Arabidopsis thaliana: one gene and its partners. The protein of the gene in region 1 purifies or fractionates together with the protein of each later gene. This does not show direct contact. Each region holds a gene or a part of one and is shown on either strand. Other genes may lie near its edges. The genes, in order: AT2G37990, AT3G58660, AT2G42650 and AT1G80750.

Region 1 (5,528 bases):
CTATCACCTGCTACCACGTGGATTCATTCCAAACACTTTCCGGATCTCAAGCCGGTCGGCAAAGAGCACCAGCGTGAAATTCGTCTTCTGCACCTTCTTCGTGCCTTGATGGCCGTTGGATCCGAATCAGACGGCCGATACACGATCTCCCTTGATCTTACATGTGAACTTGTCATTTGCGTTAAGTCAAGTACCAAATCATTTGTAAATATGTCGGACGAGGTACAAAAATGTGTTGTTATACAACAAAATATTTAAAACTCATATAAAATAAAGGTATACAAATGTGAAGAGTATTGCAAATAGATTTAGCTGGTTAGTGATGTTTTGAACGTCATGGATATTGTCGTAGTATGTGTTTATAAGTTGATCGTTGTCTATGTTTCAATGTAAAAACAGATTTTTGGATGTAATAAATTAGAAATGACAATCGGTTTTAAACTTCAATTTTCTGATAAGTGGTTCATTGAAATACTCAAAGTTGATGATTTATTTTTCCTCGTTTAGAACTTGATGATCTTCGCAAAGATCTTAATCATAATATAATTAGATTTTGTTTGTGAGTAATCCAGTCATATATAGAATTAAACACTAGCATTGTATGTTTAAGGCAAAATTGCAATTACAATAAGATTCGGTTTCATATCAAATCTCTTGTTTATGGAACATGTATGTGTCTTTTTTTTTTAAGAAGTTTTTTTGAATAGAGGTTTGGTGATAGATATGGTCCTTTTTTTTTAAGAAAGGGAGGGTATAACGATATAAATATATTCTTCTTCCAAAAAAGAGTGAAGGGCAACAAATACAAGAAGAATTATGTTGAAATCAGGCGTTAATTAAAAACATAAAATTCAGATGTGTATTCATGCTGCATTGAAATTATTTATATCGAAAATGATAATTGTAGTAGGAGTAGAATAACAAAGACATACACAAGTGCAACTCGGTGTAATTAGATAAGATCACTGCTTTGCTTCTTTGTACCTTCGATCATGTTCTTGTATAATCAAGATTCGTATAGAAGCTAATATATTCACATGTTTTTGTTCTTCTAATTATGAAGTTGAACCATCTATTATTGTAGTTGGGGATTAATGGACGATTTGAAAGAATCAACCGAAACTCACTAGATCGTGTATTTGTGTCTTGGTTTTATGTTTTATCTTTTTAAAAATTTCTATACTGAATCTGGTTTTCTTAGCAGCTTAAATTTTTAATTAATATCAGAATGAGATCATGATAAAACTTTTCACAAAATTGTTGATCTTGTATTAGAGAACAAATTGAACAACCATGAGAATGAATTTCATGAGTCACACACATCTTCACATTATCTAGATGGAAACAAGTATACTTACTAGAAAATTCAAATGGAGCCACCTATCAAATAAATCCCCTGTTAGATAACTCATGATCAAGATATTCATGATCAAGAAATTATCTACTCGATTTTCTGTTTTAGCTCTTTTGATAAACACTAATTTTTAAGTGTTTTATATTCCTCACACACATATTCACCAATAGATTAGTCATTAATCTCAAGTTAACACACGTACCTTTATATTCAATAGACCTAAGTCTTGTTTCTGACCTCAAACTGTTGGTGCCAGACTCCCACTTCCATGTTCGAACTTCTTTACATTCTTTAAGTCAGGTTATTTTTTGGATTCCAACTGTAGTGACAATCCATACATTCCATGGCTACCAAACTTATCTTGATTCACATTATGCTAAGAAGCTAAAACATACAAAAAGAACCGAAATTGTCGTGAGTTTTTTTAATACGATAGGGTATTAATGTATTCTTAACAACGTTATGGTCTTGAGAAATAAAATATGCAAATCTCGGGTAGGGTTATTTGGATTAGTGAAATTTGGGATTTTCTTAATTTAAGGCTAAAAACTATGAAATTTAGAGATTTATGACAGTTAATAAATACGAATAACGGTGTTCGTTGCAATTTTATGTGGTACTTATTTGTTTTTAAAAAAAAAGTTTAGTACTAAATTGTTCGATTTCGAAAGTTAAATATATTTTTGAAAGTTATAAAGGAAGAAAGGATTTCTTAGCAAATTTCCGTTATTTAAGTTGGAGAGAAAAGGTTTAACTCAAAATATCGCAAAACCCTAACAAAAAATTTTCATTCTTCCTCCACTCTCTCAATTCCAAAACACTGCGCCGGGAAGACATGGACACCGAGATGGAGACAGAACAAATATACCAGGTCGATGTCGGAAATCTCTTGGCTTTCAATCCCAATCACCGCTTCCCATCTGCTCCTTCTTCAAGGTTCGTCCTTTCCCGTCTTATCTTAAGCTTGTGTTGAGTTCTTCGATGGCGGCGGCTTGATTATATATTTGTTTAATCCTGATTTAGTTGATTTGGAATGGGTTTATCTTCATACTTGTTGTAAACTTTTCAATTGCTGAATAATGTTAAGTAAAGTATGAATTTTTTCGTAAGAGTGATTTATTAACAAAAGCTCTGTTTAAGTACAAGAGTTTCTTCAATTAGTTTCTCTAAGCATCAATCTCGGAAGTACAAGAGTTAAATATCTTAAGACGATGACCCAATCGAAAAGGTTGCGTCTTTAAGCAACTTCTCTGAGTGCTGTTTTAAGAGTTTTGGGAGTTGAACCTCTTCCTCAGTTGCATTCTTTTGTAATTAGGGAACAATGCTGTGTCGCTATCAATACAATATCGTCTTACTTGAGTTACTTGTTTCTGTTGAGAGCTTGTTTTATTTCTGTCCTTGATGATGATTTGTTCGAATTATTTTAGGGGGGAGCTTGTGAAGGAGATCCTAACGGAGGGAACAAAACTTGTTCAGGAAATAGCCAATAAACTTTTCAACTTTCCTTCTACTGAAACAAATGATGGTCCTATTGTCCAATTGCCTCCGCCTACAACCAAACTTCCTAGAGAGAAACATGTAAGATCTTCCTTTTTATTTTCCACTATCTCCATTCTCATGCAACACATGGATTTAACCAGTTTCAAATGCAAACGAGTGATTTCTTGTATGAGCTTATCCAAAAGACTAGAACAAGTTCATATTTTTGCTCATCACTTATCTTTGTATTGTACTAAAGCTTGTAACCTTCTCCTCTTTTCCCAGATTCCAAGGCCTAAGCCTCCTACGAAGTGGGAAGAGTTTGCGCTTAAGAAAGGTAAAAGCTGTTTAAGAAATTGTTTTAAGGATTGGAAGCTTTATTTTGTTCAGATTTTGATGGGTCGACGACCTCTGTGTTCTATAGTTTGAAGGTACTAATGTTTATTTCGTTTGGAATTGTTCTTGGTTCTGTTTCTTAGGTATACAGAAGCGCAAGAAGGAAAAAGTTGTATGGGATGAACAAACTAATCAGTTTAAGCGTCGCCATGGTTATGACCGTGTTAACGATGATAATGATGTTCCCATCATTGAGGCGAAAGAATCAGATGGTAAGTCTTATGGAAAACAACTATCTTAGATTATGTTGTTAGAGACAATGTTGAAATCTAATCTCTTTGAGTTTGAAGACAAGGATATGGAGTTGCATTACATTATTTTTTCTACTATTTATGAAAGCTTTTGGTTAATTGCAGAACCAGGAGTAGATCCTTTTGCCAAGAGACTAGATGATAAGAAGAAGAGAGTTGGAAAGCAAGAAAAGAATAGACTTCAGAATCTGAAGGCTGCTGAAAAAGCTGGTGCTTTACCAAGGTAAAACAGCTTCTTTGATCGGTATTGCATTTGTTATCCTTGCGTGAGATAACATACTAATGTAGTTGCTAAAATCTAAGTGTTATCTGACGGAAAGAAATTGAAGTCAATCCTAGCTCGATATAGGATTTCTTTTTGGAATTATCATACCACCTTTTTCATGGTTTTTGAAAACTGAAGGTCTAACTGGGTCAACATTATTTGCAGCCATGTCCAACTTGCTGCAACATCATTGCCCATATCAGGAACGAAAGCTCAACCAAAGAAAATTGGAAAGGATGAACTTGGAGATGTAGCAGGTTTAGCCGCTACTTCAACCGCTAGTGGTGGAAAATTCGATAAAAAGTTGCCTGGAGAAAAACCTCCAAAGAAGCAGGGCAAACATCACAAGGTAATTTAGTAATCTTGTCCCTCCTTTGATAATTTGATTACTAAATGACCATATCTGTTGATGATATTTGTGGAATATTTGCAGTATTTACCGGTTGTATCAGGGCGTGGGGATGTTAACGCAGAAAAAGAACAGACAAATAATGTACTCAGCAAGATATTCTCAAAGCATTCGCATGAGATCCTCAATGTTGGCAAGGTAAAACCAATTCACTTCTCAGCTCTCCTCTCTGGTTTGGTCTATTACCTCTGATGTTTGTATGTGAAAAGATTGTGTTAAACTGTTGCGTATAATATGATTTAGGCGATAAACATGTACAACGTCAAGAAGGAGAAGAAGAAGTCAGGAAGGTCAGACAAGTTGAAACCTAAGAAGGACATCACCAAGAAGCCTGCCAACAAAGCCAAGTGAAGAGACTCTCCCATGTCTAATTTACTCTTCTATCTGTCTCCATCTTCTATCACAAAACAAATTTTGGGTTGCTCTGTTAAAGTAATACTTTATGAGTACGTTTATTTTAATCTTATTGACTTCATATTTTGCACCATAAAACAATTTAAAGCTCGCAAGGTCTAGAAATCCAGTTTGATTTTCTCTCTAAAGCTCTCAATCCACACTAATATTCAAACACATTGACTACACTCTATCTTGTCTCTTTACATTCAAGTAGAGAAGAACAAAGATCAACTCTGGTTTTTCAAACCTTTAACCACTCAAGACAGGGACACAAACCCCAACAGAATCTTGCTGGGTAATAATCTTTCAAGTATATCTCCTTACCAAAACCGATTATGTAAAAGCTGAACGCTTTCCCACGATCTTCCATGGTGACACGAGTCACAGGCACAACAGATATGGTGTGTCTCTCACATACTACATTCGCTGTCGGTGGAACTTCAGCTCTTAACGAGATAACTTCTGAGGAGAATCTGTTGAGGAAATATGAGTCTGCAAAGTAAGCTGGCGTGCACTGGTAAGCTTGTGTGTTGCAAAGCTGAACTCCTTCTGCTCTGTCAAATACTTCTTCTGGTACTGACCCAGCTCCTCTTGTTGCACTCACCTTTCGCTTCGACAGAGTCTTCCTGTCAAAACCGAAAACAACAATCAAATATTTCAATTGCCACTTCAAGCCACATGTTCTTAAGAATTTCTAAAACCTACCATTTTACAACTGCGATACTACTTGTCAGAAGAGAACCAGTACTGTCACAAGTCTGACATTTGATTAACCCGCGAGATTGGCAAGTTGGGCAAGGAAGCTTTCCCTTACCGTTACAGTTGGTGCATCTGCGGAGAAAAGAGAGTTTTCTGTAATTAAAACCACACTTTTCATTTTGCAACCATCAAAGTATAAGTAGAGTTCTTGATCTGAACTCACATTGTGTCGGACCCATCTTTATGAGCAACCAAGCCTCTTCCATAGCAAGTGGAACA
Region 2 (4,448 bases), on another chromosome or scaffold:
ATCACCCAATTTCAGCTGAAGGATATAGAGAATGTGATTGATATAGCAGAAGATTAAAGGAAATTAGATCAGGAATGAAATTTGATTACCTCTCAGTTTCTCAGGCTGCCAAAGATCTCATTTTTTACTTATGGATCCATCCATTAAGTGTAATTTGCAGAAACCCTATACCGAATTCAGCAAAATGAGAACCCAGACAGACACAGCTGAGAGATGTTTTGCAAATTGGATTGACCCAAATCGAAACAATGGTGGCTTTGGGAGATCTAGCCCTAAAGATCGACCAAAGCTCTCCACTTTTATCTCTCTCAGCTCACGAATCGCACTGTAGAACAAGAACAACGACCATGGAAGAAGATAAAAACACAAAATGAGATTTATCAAATCAGACAAACAAAACAAAGAAAATATTTGGGGGGTTTTGGAGGAATGCGTAAGATCAGGAAGGCTCAAAGCAGATTTGAGATTAGGGATTTGGGTAGTGAGCTAAGAGAAGTGAAGAAGCAGCAAGAGACGTTTTTAAAAAAATGAGAGAAGCTGAGTTTGAATTGAAATGACGACAGAGAGAGCCGTTGCAAAGAGAGAGAGAGAGAGAAAGACAGACAGAGACAAAGAGAGTTTTGAATTTAGGAAACTGAAAGCTCCCTCCTTTGAGCTATTAAAAGTGTTTCTTTTTTCTATACATAAAAGGAAAATCTTTTGTTTCAACAACTATTTTGGCTTTTATACATATAGCATGATCTCATCTACAAATATATATAGCTTGATGATGTTTTTTTTTTTTTTTTGTCACAAGCTTGATGATGTTTATATTTGGTATCCAATGCAGATGGAAATATATAGCTTGATGATGTTTATACATGTTTCAGTTCAGTTTGCAGTTTCAAACATAAGAGAATTTGAATTGGTTAGGGGACAAAAAAAACACATAATTTAAAAGAGGTCATAACGATTCAATTTTCAGGTGTAGAAAAATAAAGGCAAAGACTTTATTGTAAACAGTGCAATCACTGTATATATTAATATTCCATTTTGATTATTATAAAATTATTTCGTTGGGCATTACCACAATTCATATTTGTGTCCGTCTCACAAGGGCTCCACTTTCGTATAGTTTTGAATATTTGTAATATGCTGCATTCTATGATTCGAATTACTTAAAAGTTCAAATTTTTTTTGGACTCTTGATATTTCACAATCAGTTTTTTTTTTTAAAAACAGAATAAATGAGTAGAGGAAGTTGTTGTGGTTTGAGTTGCTTCGAAGTAGCGAAACCAAAGAGAGTAGAGTATATGAGAACGATGTCTGAACAATTCGATAAAATCCCTAGGAAGCTTTACACGCATGAAGACTTGAATCTCACAATGCAGAGCCGATAGTGAATTCATACTTTTCAAAGTTAAACTTCCGAAAATAAAATCAAATTAATAACATTTCAAAACTTTTAATCAGTAGTTTACTAGCTGTTACAAACCGAAATATTTTAATAAACAGAGAGAGAAAGTTAAAGAGACAATGACAAAACACAAACCAACATGGTTGAAAGGTTGACTCATATATATATATATATATATATATATATATATATATATATTGAGTATTTAATTTCTTATTTTTAATTCCAAAAATCATTATTTTAGATCAATAGTTTTTATTGATTTTTTTGTAAACTATTGAATAATAGAGAATTTTAAATTTTCCTAGATCCCTAATTCCAACATACTTATTTCTCTGTTGATTCTTTTTATCTCCAAAATCGACTTTAAAAGATTGATATTCAATAGTTTTAATCAAACAGTTTCTATTTTAAAAATCGTTGAAACCAAATCTCGTGGATTTCTAGATCTATAACTATTAATTCAAGAAGATTTAGATATTGAACTTTTGTTTCGGAAAGAAATAGATATAAAATTATTTCTTCGAGGACATATAGATCGTGCTCACAAATCAGATTCTATCTAGTATGATGTGTCGAGGAAATAGACTGTTTTCCGGAAGAGATAGTCGAAATTCGTATATGGGCCAATCTTTATAAGAAAATAACCTTTAGAAAAGTTACACTAGAAGAAAGTCCGGCCCATCTTTATAAGAAAACTATTATGGGCCAAAATAAAGGTAGGCCCATTAACCCAGGGAAATAATATATCAGTGATAAATCCTTCTTCTGTCCCCTTCCTCCTTAAACCCTAATCTCTGTACTCTCTCTTCCTCAATCCCTCCCATGACCACCGCAGTTTCGCCGCCGCCGCCGCAGGAGCAGCAACTTGTTCACGCTTCGCAGACTTCAAGAGTGAGTCCCAAGACAGTGGAGAGCGCCCTCAATGGTCTTATCAATTGGAGAAGCGACAAATCAAAGACAGAGAAGCCTCAACTTCTCGAAGAAGACGAGCTCGTCTACCTTTTCGTTACTTTGAAGAAGATTCCACAGAAGACCCGTACGAATGCTTACCGTATCCCTTTACCTCATCCTCTTATCAACCCGACGGTCGATTCGCCGGAGATTTGTCTCATCATCGACGACAGACCTAAAAGTGGTCTCACCAAAGATGATGCGATGAAGAAGATCAAATCTGAGAATATTCCAATCACCAAGGTTATTAAGCTTTCGAAACTGAAGAGTGATTACAAGGCGTTCGAAGCGAAGAGGAAACTCTGCGACTCTTACGACATGTTTTTCACTGATCGGAGGATCATTCCTCTGCTGCCGAGGGTGATTGGGAAGAAGTTCTTTACGAGCAAGAAGATTCCGGTGGCGCTTGATTTGAAGCACAGGAACTGGAAACATCAGATAGAGAAAGCTTGTGGATCTGCTATGTTCTTCATAAGGACTGGGACGTGTAGTGTCATTAAGGTTGGGAAATTGTCTATGGATATTTGTGAAATTACTGAGAATGTGATGGCGACATTGAATGGACTAGTTGAGTTCTTGCCTAATAAGTGGACGTACGTTAGGTCTTTGCATTTGAAGTTGTCTGAGAGTTTAGCTTTGCCTATATATCAGTCTGTTCCTGATTTGAAGCTTAAAATCGATGCTTTTGGGTCTGGAAAGAGTGTTGTTCAGGAGGAGAAGGAAGGTGAAGTTGAAGAAGTTGTTGCTGTTGATGGTGGAGAGAAGAGTGTTACAGGGAAGGGAAAGAAGAAGAAAGGTAGGATTCACGAGGTTAGGTATATGGATAGTAATGTAGCTGAGGTGCTTGATGAGGATGAGATTGGTGGTGACGAGGATAATAATGAGATTGTTGAGTCTGAGGAGAAGAAGATGAAGAAGAGGAAGAAGGAGGTAAGTGAAGTTGCAGAGAGTGAGAAGCCGATGAAGAAAGCTGCCAAAGGGAAGTTGAAACCTGATGTTGAGAAACCGATGAAGAAAGCTGCCAAAGGGAAGTCGAAACCCGATGTTGAGAAACCTATGCAGAAAGCTGCGGTCAAGGGGAAAGTTAAACCAGATGTTGTGAAGCTGGAGAAGAGCAAGGACGGCTTAAAGGCGAAAAAGACAACAATGGTTGCGAAAGACGAATCTGGTGGTGGATTGAAGCCGAAGAGAAAGAGTGTGCTTAGGAAATGAGGCAGAGGAAGGTCTTGAGTGTTTGCTTTTGAGTATGATTTATGTTTTATTTTCTATCGTAGTTCTTATTACATTTTTGAGCCATTTCATATCTTGTACTACTTCTATGAAACATTGAACTGGTGAATGTGGGTTTGATGGTTTTGTGGAGGAAACATACTACTGTTCACCTTTTAACTTTTTAAAGGTTTTTCTTTCTAAACAAAGACTATTTATCTGAATTTATTGCAATAAGCATTGATCAGGTTATGATGGTACTTGCATGATCTTGATCCCCATCTCTTAGTAAATGGCTCACCAAAGCTTTAACCATTTAAATCATATAGAGGTCTCTTAGAACAGTTATACCCAAAATCTGCATGAGTTTTTTTATTACTCGCAAGCCAGCACAGCACTTCAGGCTTCGTCTTTCAGTCATAAGAAGAATTAAAAGTTGATATGATCTAGAGAAGACATGAAATAAGGAAATGCAAAAGATCAATGGAAACAAAATTTATGATAACTAAATAGAACACTGTTTATGAGCAATTTTTTGTGTAGCTGCATATAAAAATAGGGGGAAAAAATTATAATATTAAACTAGTGAAGTAATCATAAAGTTGTATGTAGTAAACATTATCATACAACGACATAGGCTGGAACTTAATGTGGTCACAATTATGTAAGAACCTCGACCATTATGCAGCCAGCCTCTGAATGGTTTACCAATTATTCTCCTGATCATAAGCACCTTTCTCTTTCTGCTCTTTTTTAATATGTTTAATCCTTTTTGTATTTCTCATTTTCTAATCACTGGACCTCTGTACGGAACTCTCCATATCACAAAGTTATCTGGAGGTTGATACTCTTCAAGCCATGTCACATTTGAGATCACTTCTCCATTCAT
Region 3 (4,190 bases), 1.9 Mb from region 1:
GTTACAAATCTTGGAGGTAACTTTCTTATGCGACCTTCGAGCTGGTTTAGCGGGTTATGCAGAAATGACCGAGACAGCACAGAGAACAAGACTCTGCCTCTACTCGAGGTAACTACCTACTTTCGTTTTAAGAGTTATAGAGGAACAGTTTTGTTAAAAACCGAGGAAGGTACTGTAATCTTGGTGAAATCTTATGCAGATTAGGAAGAAGAACAATGAGAAAAGAGTCCGAGATGAAGAAGTATCATCAGTCAAACGATTGAAATCAATGTCCGGAGGTGGGATACAGTTGCCTGAGTTTGGAAATTGCAGGCAAAAACCAACAGATGATATCAACACAATGCTCTCGCTCTCTCTGTTGTCGACATCATCAGAACCGTAACCAACATACTAGAGAGATGAAGTTTAACTTTAAAAGAGATTCAAGAGTAGAGACTTTTGTTTTCCTTAGCCGTTTCATGGGATGAGTACTTAGCCAGGATCTGGATCAGGCTTGAGTCAGATCCTGCAAGTACTTATCCTTAGCGGTTTCTCTGCATTCAATACAACACCAATTCTGGAATGCAACAAAACACATGTAATAATATGTTTCCTCGTCAAAACCACCAAATCAACTACATGGCAAGTCACTAGTTTGATGAAATAGTAAACGATAATAAAAGTCCTAAATATATAAGAATCATGATGATGATACCATAATAAGACAAAGTCATAATCAGTATCCAAAAAAATCACTCAAGCAGAAAGAATAGAATACTTAGTTATAACGACATTAATATAAAATCTTCTTTTCTTGGTTCACCTCCTCTTAGTCTTAGCTTTGAATCCACCACCAGACTCATCAATGTCCTTCTTTAGCTTTTTCGACTTTTGCCCATTCTTACTCTTCACAATGTCTGGTTTCCCACTCACTGCAGACTTACTACTACTCATCTTCTTCCTCTTCTTCTTATCTCCAGAAGCATTGAGATCATCAGCAACCTCATCTTCTCCAACACTCCTATCGAATTCATCATCACCAAGAGTCTCAGATACATTACTATCCATATATCTAACCTCATGAATCTTTCCATTCTTCTTCTTTGTCTTCACACTCTTACTACTACTATCATCAACATCACTTTTAGCTAATCCTTCACCATTCTTAACTTCTTCAACACCTAAAGGATCAATCTTGAGCTGCAAATAAGGCACTGTCTGATATAATGGCAAAGATAAACTCTCAGATAACTTCAAATGCAAAGATCTTATGTATTTCCACCTACTAGGCAAAACATCAACAACACCATTCAAAGTCGCCGTCACATTCTCAACGATATCATCGCTTTCCATGGACAATTTCGCAACTTTGATCGCACTACAAGACCCAGTCCTCATGAAGAACATAGCAGCACCACAAGCTTTCTCAATCTGCTCTTTCCAATTCATATGCTTCAAATCAATAGCCACAGGAGTCTTCTTGCTCTGAAAGAACTTCTTCCCAATCAATTTTGGCAACATAGGAATCACTCTCCGATCTGAGAAAAACATATCGTATGAATCACAAAGCTTCCGTTTCGATTCGAATGATCCATAATCCGATTTCAGCTTCGAAAGCTTAACAACTTTCGTGATTGGTATGTTCTCTGATTTGATATTCTTCTTCGCATCTTCCTCGGTGAGACCACTTTCAGGTCTGTCGTCGATGATGAGACAGAGCTCCGGTGAGTCTTCGGTAGTGTTAATTAGCGGATGCGGGAGAGGAATACGATAAGCGTTCGTAAAATTCCTCTGTGGAATCTTCTTTAGGGCTACGACTAGGTAAAAGAATCCGTCTTCTTCTAGAAGCTGTGGCTTCTCCGTCCTTGATTTTTCGTTTCCCTCTTTGACCAGAGCCTTAACTGCATCGTCCACAGTCTTGGGACTTACTCTTGACATAAGTGGTGGCGGCGGTTGCGGCTGAGCTGCGGTGGTCGGAGGAAAAGAAAAGTTATTTAGGGTTCTGTGAAGGAAGATTCAGGGTTTACGGAGGACGATGACTTTTAAACGAGTTTGTTTTGGGTTTCTTAAGGCCCATAATATTGGTTAATGGGCTTAATTATATTGTTTTCATAAATTGTCCTCAAGTTTTTGCATCGGAGAAATCTTTTCTATTAAACGAGTTTGTTTTGCGTTTCTTAAGGCCCATAATATTAGTTAATGGGCTTAACTATGTTGTTTTATAAATTGTCCTCAAGTTTTGCATAGGAGAAATGTTTTGAAGATTTTTTTTTTGTGTGGTAAGAGAAACTTTTAGAAGATGGTAATTGGTAAGATTTAAGATATAGGAAATTATGACAAACTAGCTTATTTTATCAATACATGAAATCTTTTTTATTTCATGTTAATGTAGATATAGATATAAATTTAAAATATGAAATTAATTATATAAAATATGAGTCATGTAGTACTTGGCTGTCATTTACCATACTTGTCTAAAACGTACTTACCAAATATATTTGATGCTAATTTTTATATACAAAGAAATAAAGTATATACACCTGGACAATATAATTATTAATAAAATTGTTTTCTTTATTTTCAAGTTTTTATTCCCTTCGCAAAATGTCTAATTCCTCTTATAGCTCTTCAAACTTTAAAAATAAATATTTCTTTAAGAAAAAAGTGAGAATCACATTAATTGAAAATGTCAATATTTAGATAACCAAAACAAAATTCTCAAACACTTTTCTTTATGTAAGTACTATATAAATGGAGGGATTTCTTTATAAACCAAAATGTGTGATATCTTATTGAGTTCATTGAGAGAATACATGAAATGATAGAAATGTCAGGTTTTTGACAAACAAAGAAATAGCCGCACTGCCAAACACTTTGATGATCTGTTGTTGTTGACGTGTAAGTATCATAATCAACATCAATATTGAAGTAGGATGAATTCTCTTGAGTCATTCTTATTGCAATCTTTTTCGAAGATTGAATACATTCGTTGATTTTCTATTATACTCTTTTCAAAAAAAGTTCATCCTCATTTTTCATCAAACTCTTGTTAGATTCTTGTTCATTTACATCATCCTCTTTTAAGAAATCTATCTCATATGCATGAACAATCTGATAATATATTGTCATTCATAGTGTAATGACTATCAAATATGTATCTTGTTTCGAAGATCTTTGAGATAGAAATGGATGACAAAAACAATCCATGTAGGTAGAGGACAAAATTGTACTTATGAAATATATCCTGTGAATAAGTGCTTCTCGGCACGTGACTCATAATCCCTCGCACGTGACTTGCTTCGTCACTTTCGTAAAACCCCTTGACTGTGTTTTTGCTTCTTCCGCCATCAAAATCAAAACTTTCAAAACCTCCAAAATCCAATTTTTATCTCATGAATCTCTGTTGCAAATCTCTATGCATATACGTACACATACTCTATATGTGTGTACGTTTAGCTCTTTGTTGCTTGATCATGGCAATCTTCAGATCTCTCTTCTGTCTTTCTCTTGTTTCGCAGTGCGATTTAAGCAGATTGATTGCTGGATTTTGGAATTGGAAGGACGTTTATCTGCTTTCTGTGAGTTTTTTCATAAACCCTTATTCTTCTTTTGCTCTTTAGCCTTTTCTTATATGATTTTAGACCGTTTGGTTTATGGGTTCTTGTGTGTTTGAATCCATCGAAGTTGGTGGGATTTTATTTTGAAATGGGTTTTGAAATCTATGCAGGAATTTGAAATTTTGCAACCGAGGACTTGAAAATGGGAGCTAAGTGTTGCAGAGGTCACCGAGGATCAGTGGTGGAATCAAATGGTTCCGTGATCTTGTCGTAAGTTCTGAGGCTGAATTATTGAAGTGAATCTCTTCTATAAGTATCGAAAAGTCCAACACTTTGAATAAGTTTTGTAGCCAGTCTTTGAGAATTGTCTACTAGTTAAATGCTTTGATAAGGAATATATGGAATGCAACTTAGTATGTCACTGAAACATTTATTTCTGCAACAGTATATCCGAGTCTATATTTACTTAACCATTCTGCTTTTGCCTATGTAGGTTAGCTGACCTAGAGGTCCAAGCTACTGGTAAGCGAAGTTTGATTCTTAATATTTTGGTACCTACGTTATTCGTCTTTTCTTGAGTGAAACCTATGGGCTAAGGAGACACTCTTGTGATTTTAGACCTTAGGGAGATGACTGTGGTAGAGGCAAGAGATG
Region 4 (4,741 bases), on another chromosome or scaffold:
TGTAGGTACATCCAGGTTGGGAATGCTGTGGCAGTTCCTGTAGGGGTTGCATTAGGATATGCCTTTGGTATGGCGAGTCAAGGACTGACGGATGATGAACCAGTAATCAAGCTGCCATTCAAGTATCCCGAATGCATGCAGGCAAAGGATCAAATCTGATTGACAGTCTCCATCAAGTCGTCATGATGAAACTATCTTTAGGAATCATACTTCATTTTCTAGACTTTCTTTTAATTTTTTGGGTTAGCAAGAGCTATATGCTCAAACAATGGCGGCTTAAACTGTCTAGCTCTTTCTTGTTGGTTTATCTTTGACTTTATAATCATTTGGAACCATTTTATTTCTTATGATTTTTAATCTCAAGATTTCAAATTCTATTGCGTAGACTTCAATCCTACGTGATGCCATCCAACAAGAATTAAGACCAAGCAAAAGACAGACAAAACCTGTTATTGAGCATCCGAGGTGCTAGGTACGTCCGTGATCTCTCGACGAACATTGGTTCGATTTTGCGTAATTCAGTTGCCACCGACCGACCGAAACTCTGGTCAATGATCACCACTTACCAGCTTTTATTAGTGTTATTCATTCATTCGCAAAAGCTAAGTAAATTCGAAGGCAGTTAGGCCCACAAGCCCATATAATGGTGAAAGATTTGGTTCACCCAAATAATGTCCCCACTCCTTCGGTTGGGCTTTTACGTTATAATATTCGGCCCAAATTTGATATCTCATAACAGAGCAAATTTTTCACATAGAAGAAGCAGAGAAACCAATTGATCTACTTTTTTTTTTTTTTTGTTTCTTCCTCTTCATCAGGCTTGTTCTTCGATTCCCTCACTTAAAGAAGGGTTTCGAATTTGCTCGAAAGATTGAAAGGAAAAAAAGAAAGAGGTGAACCATTCTCAACATAAATTTGTTGTTTAGGAGATGTAAGAATGATAATTTCTTGGATCTAATCGCGTTCAGAAAGTGAGAAAGTTTTAGGATTCATAAATATCTTTGTGTTCTTCTCCACCCTAATAAACACATTGATACAGAGATGGAGGATGAACATGTTATGATTGATCTTGATGACGTTTCAAGGCACATTGACATTCCAGCAGATGCTCCTTATACTTTATCAGTTAGTTCAATCCAATTCTTTCATTTCACTTTTTGCATTCTCTTGTTTTATAAGTTTGGTTTTGTTTGGTTCTCATAGGGTTTGGATACTTTGAATCCGGTGTTGACCATAGATGGCAAAATGAAGCTGGTAATTCTCTTACTTGCAACTAGTACAATTTTCCAAGTTCAGTTACTCTTTTTGCTTAAACCATTCTTAATCGTGTTAGATTTGATGATCTCTCAGGTAGGAGAATATATAGCAACGATTGGTACATGCCTTGCTTTCTCTGACAAAGGTTAGTTTCACTTTTCCTCTTTATTATCAAACATGGAAACACATGTTATTGTTTCAAGTAATTATTCTGTCCCTTCAAGATGCTGATTTGGGGTTGCGGTTTCTTCATTTGTCTGTTTGCACAAGGTGATAACCAGACGCCACAGAAGAAGACAGTTGAACCTGTTGCCAAACTCCACAAGATTCTCAAGTTTAGGTTAGCACCATTAGACAACGAAGATGGAGTAACAAAAACAACCAATTTGTAAAAGTTTTTCTCTTGTTCAAGTCATTGGAAACCTGACTTTTCTTCAAAGATCATATTAAAAAAAAGAACTATAACAATAACCGACAGATTATATATGTAGCTAAGGCACATGCAGCATCTTCCTTTGTTGGCCTCTTGAAAGTAGCAATCAAACTAAGACCAAACCAAAAGGTAACTAAACGATTCACAACTTCAACGTACGTTTTCATGATTTGTCCTTCTGATGATGTCAATAAAATAAAAACTGAATTGAATCAACCAGTGATGGAGAAATTATGCATCCCATGTAATTAAAAGAAACAAAATCACACAAGATATTATAAAATAAAACTAGGTATATTCAAAGGCAGTAAGGCCTTACATAAGCCCATAAATATTGGGCTTTTTTAGCCCAATAGTATTATGAGTCTGGCCCGGAGCGTAATTAGGTCTGGTGGCAAAGTTGTTAATAACACAAAAGAGATTTTAGTTAATAAACCCTAGGCTTCTCAAATCGGCCATTGCTACCAACTTCGACTTGGAATTCTTTCAGCCGCCGTCCCAATTGCTTTGCCGCCACCGGTAAATTTGTTCCCCCTTTTCCGTTCTTCTTATCTTGTTCATTCTGTTGGTGTCCCTATAGCCTCACTTTCTTATAGGGTTGAGTTCAGTCTCTGTTTATAAACTTTTTTCGCAAAAAAATTCAATCTGACAATCTGTTTTGTGTTGTAGAAGCAAAGAGTAGAGAGATAATGGCTGAGGAAGAAGCTAAGGGTTTGGATTACATACCGGAGATAGTACTGAAGAAGAGGAAGAACAGAGATGAGCTTGCCTTTATCAGGAAGAAGCAACTTGAGTTGGGTAATTCCGGCAAGAAGAAGAAGAAAGTCTCTGATATCAAACGTCCTGAAGATTTTGTTCATGAGTTCAGGGCTAAGGTACACTTCTTTTTTTCCAGATTCTCTGAAAAACTTTTGCTTTGTCTTTTTCCATTCGTTTTACTGCCTCAAGTTCTGATTTTTGCTTCTTGACTTTTGTCTACACCTTAGAAGAACTTGTTTTTGCTTATTCTTTGAGTTAAATTAAAGCTATACATCAACCTTTATGATTAGGTTTTGTCACTTATCTCTTAGACTGTAACTTTTCTACAGATAATTTTGTGTTTCTCCTTTGAGATTTCTCCCTAGTTTTGCAAGGTTGTGCTTAGGACTTGTTGTTTCTTCTGTCAATCCTGCATTGTTCTCTGTAATTTAACTGTTCCCTTTTTGCTAATTTTATCCCTACTTAAGGAAGTAGATATGATCCGGATGAAGCAAAGAGTAAAGAGGCCAAAGTCATCTCCTCCACCAGTTAAATCTGACCTGGTTTTCATCATACGCATTCAAGGGTATTTGATATTCTCCAATTAGCTTTGTTTTCCCCCTGGAGTTTTAATCTTTATCTCTGCCTGTTTCTTATCCTTGCCTTTTCTTTCTGGTGACCAGCAAGAATGATATGCACCCAAAGACCAAGAGGATTCTTAACAATTTGCAACTAAAGAGCGTCTTTACTGGTGTATTTGCTAAAGCAACTGACAGTTTGTTCCAAAAGCTTCTCAAAGTGCAGCCTTATGTCACTTATGGGTACGTAGAGACAATCAATCCTCTTTCAATATTTCCTTGTTACTCGATTTCCATGCTGTTTCTCTATTCTCGTATGAGCTAACCGATGTTTACGATTCTTGAAGATACCCGAATGATAAGAGTGTTAAGGACCTTATATACAAAAAGGGATGCACAATCATTGAGGGAAATCCTGTTCCTCTTACCGACAACAATATAATCGAACAGGTAAAATTTCCTACTCTTAAAAGTATAGGAGCTTATTCCAGATAATAACCATGCTGTTCTTAATCGTTTCCACTTTTGTTACCTTAGGCTCTAGGAGAACACAAAATCTTGGGCATAGAAGACCTTGTGAATGAGATAGCAAGAGTCGGAGATCATTTCAGAGAAGTTATGAGATTCTTGGGACCCTTGAAACTCAACAAGCCTGTGGCTGATGTTTTGCACCGGAAGAAACAAGTTTTCAGCGAAGGAGGAGATACCGGAAACCGCGAAGATAAGATCAATGATCTCATCAGCAAAATGAATTAGAAGCAGCAATCGTTGTAATCGCTAGCTACTTACTATATTTTCCTTAAAAGATCTGTACGAGGCTAAAAACCAACCATTTTGATGAAACACTTGCAATTTTGGTTAAAGGGCATTCCAAATTTTATAAGCATCGTCGACTTCAGATATTATATTATACACATATATTTATGTGATGTAAACAGAGTAATATAGAAGCGAGTGTTTTTCATCTTCTGAAGCTCCTCCTCTCTTTGGGTGCTTCATCTTCCTCTGGCAACTTGACAATTGTGTATGTACCTGCTCCGATTAACGCTCCAAGAATGGGGGCAGTGAGGTAAACCCAAATAGCTCTGTAATTGTTTGCTGCAATGGCTGGACCCAGTGTTCTTACAGGGTTCATCGAAGCAGAAGTTGCAGGTCTGTTGGACACAACATCATGATCAGTAACATGTATTATTATGTACAAGAACTGAATTCAAGAAATGATGGTTTATTTACCCAGCTATAAGTATGTTAAGCATGACCGTTGCTCCTACGGCAATTCCCGCCAACTCTCCCACCTGTAATCTTGTGATTAGTTTTCATTGACGTCCAAAATTTCAAGACTCTTCAAAAACGTTTTTTATAAGTAATTTACAGCTCTCGTGTCGGTGGCTACGGCTGTGACAACGAACATGAGGTTGAAGCTGATAATGAATTCCAAGGCGAAAGCTTGGCTGAGACCCACCGTCGGCACCGTCACGCCACCGCTCATCGTTGGTTCAAACACTGCTTTCAGTGCAAACGCCGCACTCACGGAGGCCATCACCTGAGCTCCGATATACACCGGCACCTAACATAAATTTAGACACCAACATTATTATTTTTATAACAATTATATAGAACCCCTTTTATATGATCAGATTTTATATATACTTTTATTACCCATGTTAAAATTCAATTCATAATACAACATGCATGTGCATGTCTATAGATTTCATGTGGTTCTCTCAGTAACATC

What was found.
Region 2: the proteins of AT2G37990 (region 1) and AT3G58660 fractionate together in Arabidopsis thaliana (co-fractionation; one large-scale study listed by BioGRID). This does not show direct contact.
Region 3: the proteins of AT2G37990 (region 1) and AT2G42650 fractionate together in Arabidopsis thaliana (co-fractionation; one large-scale study listed by BioGRID). This does not show direct contact.
Region 4: the proteins of AT2G37990 (region 1) and AT1G80750 fractionate together in Arabidopsis thaliana (co-fractionation; one large-scale study listed by BioGRID). This does not show direct contact.

What each region holds. Positions count from the first base shown.
Region 1 is NC_003071.7:15,898,524-15,904,051, forward strand, and holds AT2G37990 (ribosome biogenesis regulatory protein (RRS1) family protein), read left to right. Parts: upstream 1-2,111; 5' UTR 2,112-2,189; coding exon 2,190-2,290; intron 2,291-2,781; coding exon 2,782-2,932; intron 2,933-3,118; coding exon 3,119-3,170; intron 3,171-3,312; coding exon 3,313-3,441; intron 3,442-3,585; coding exon 3,586-3,703; intron 3,704-3,910; coding exon 3,911-4,094; intron 4,095-4,178; coding exon 4,179-4,292; intron 4,293-4,397; coding exon 4,398-4,505; 3' UTR 4,506-4,695; downstream 4,696-5,528. Other genes in the region: AT2G38000 (chaperone protein dnaJ-like protein), read right to left, coding at 4,792-5,176, 5,256-5,381, 5,473-5,528.
Region 2 is NC_003074.8:21,699,353-21,703,800, forward strand, and holds AT3G58660 (Ribosomal protein L1p/L10e family), read left to right. Parts: upstream 1-2,181; 5' UTR 2,182-2,221; coding exon 2,222-3,562; 3' UTR 3,563-3,762; downstream 3,763-4,448. Other genes in the region: AT3G58670 (2-aminoethanethiol dioxygenase, putative (DUF1637)), read right to left, coding at 4,341-4,448.
Region 3 is NC_003071.7:17,763,257-17,767,446, reverse strand, and holds AT2G42650 (Ribosomal protein L1p/L10e family), read right to left. Parts: upstream 2,270-4,190; 5' UTR 1,918-2,269; coding exon 799-1,917; 3' UTR 559-798; downstream 1-558. Other genes in the region: AT2G42660 (Homeodomain-like superfamily protein), read left to right, coding at 1-108, 200-382; AT2G42640 (Mitogen activated protein kinase kinase kinase-like protein), read left to right, coding at 3,739-3,806, 4,030-4,058, 4,155-4,190.
Region 4 is NC_003070.9:30,346,673-30,351,413, forward strand, and holds AT1G80750 (Ribosomal protein L30/L7 family protein), read left to right. Parts: upstream 1-1,997; 5' UTR 1,998-2,209; intron 2,210-2,359; 5' UTR 2,360-2,379; coding exon 2,380-2,565; intron 2,566-2,916; coding exon 2,917-3,014; intron 3,015-3,111; coding exon 3,112-3,249; intron 3,250-3,353; coding exon 3,354-3,456; intron 3,457-3,543; coding exon 3,544-3,762; 3' UTR 3,763-3,892; downstream 3,893-4,741. Other genes in the region: CMT1 (chromomethylase 1), read left to right, coding at 6-159; AT1G80745 (Transcription factor TFIIIC, tau55-related protein), read left to right, coding at 1,042-1,125, 1,204-1,254, 1,351-1,402, 1,528-1,649; NIP6;1 (NOD26-like intrinsic protein 6;1), read right to left, coding at 3,968-4,160, 4,240-4,301, 4,379-4,573.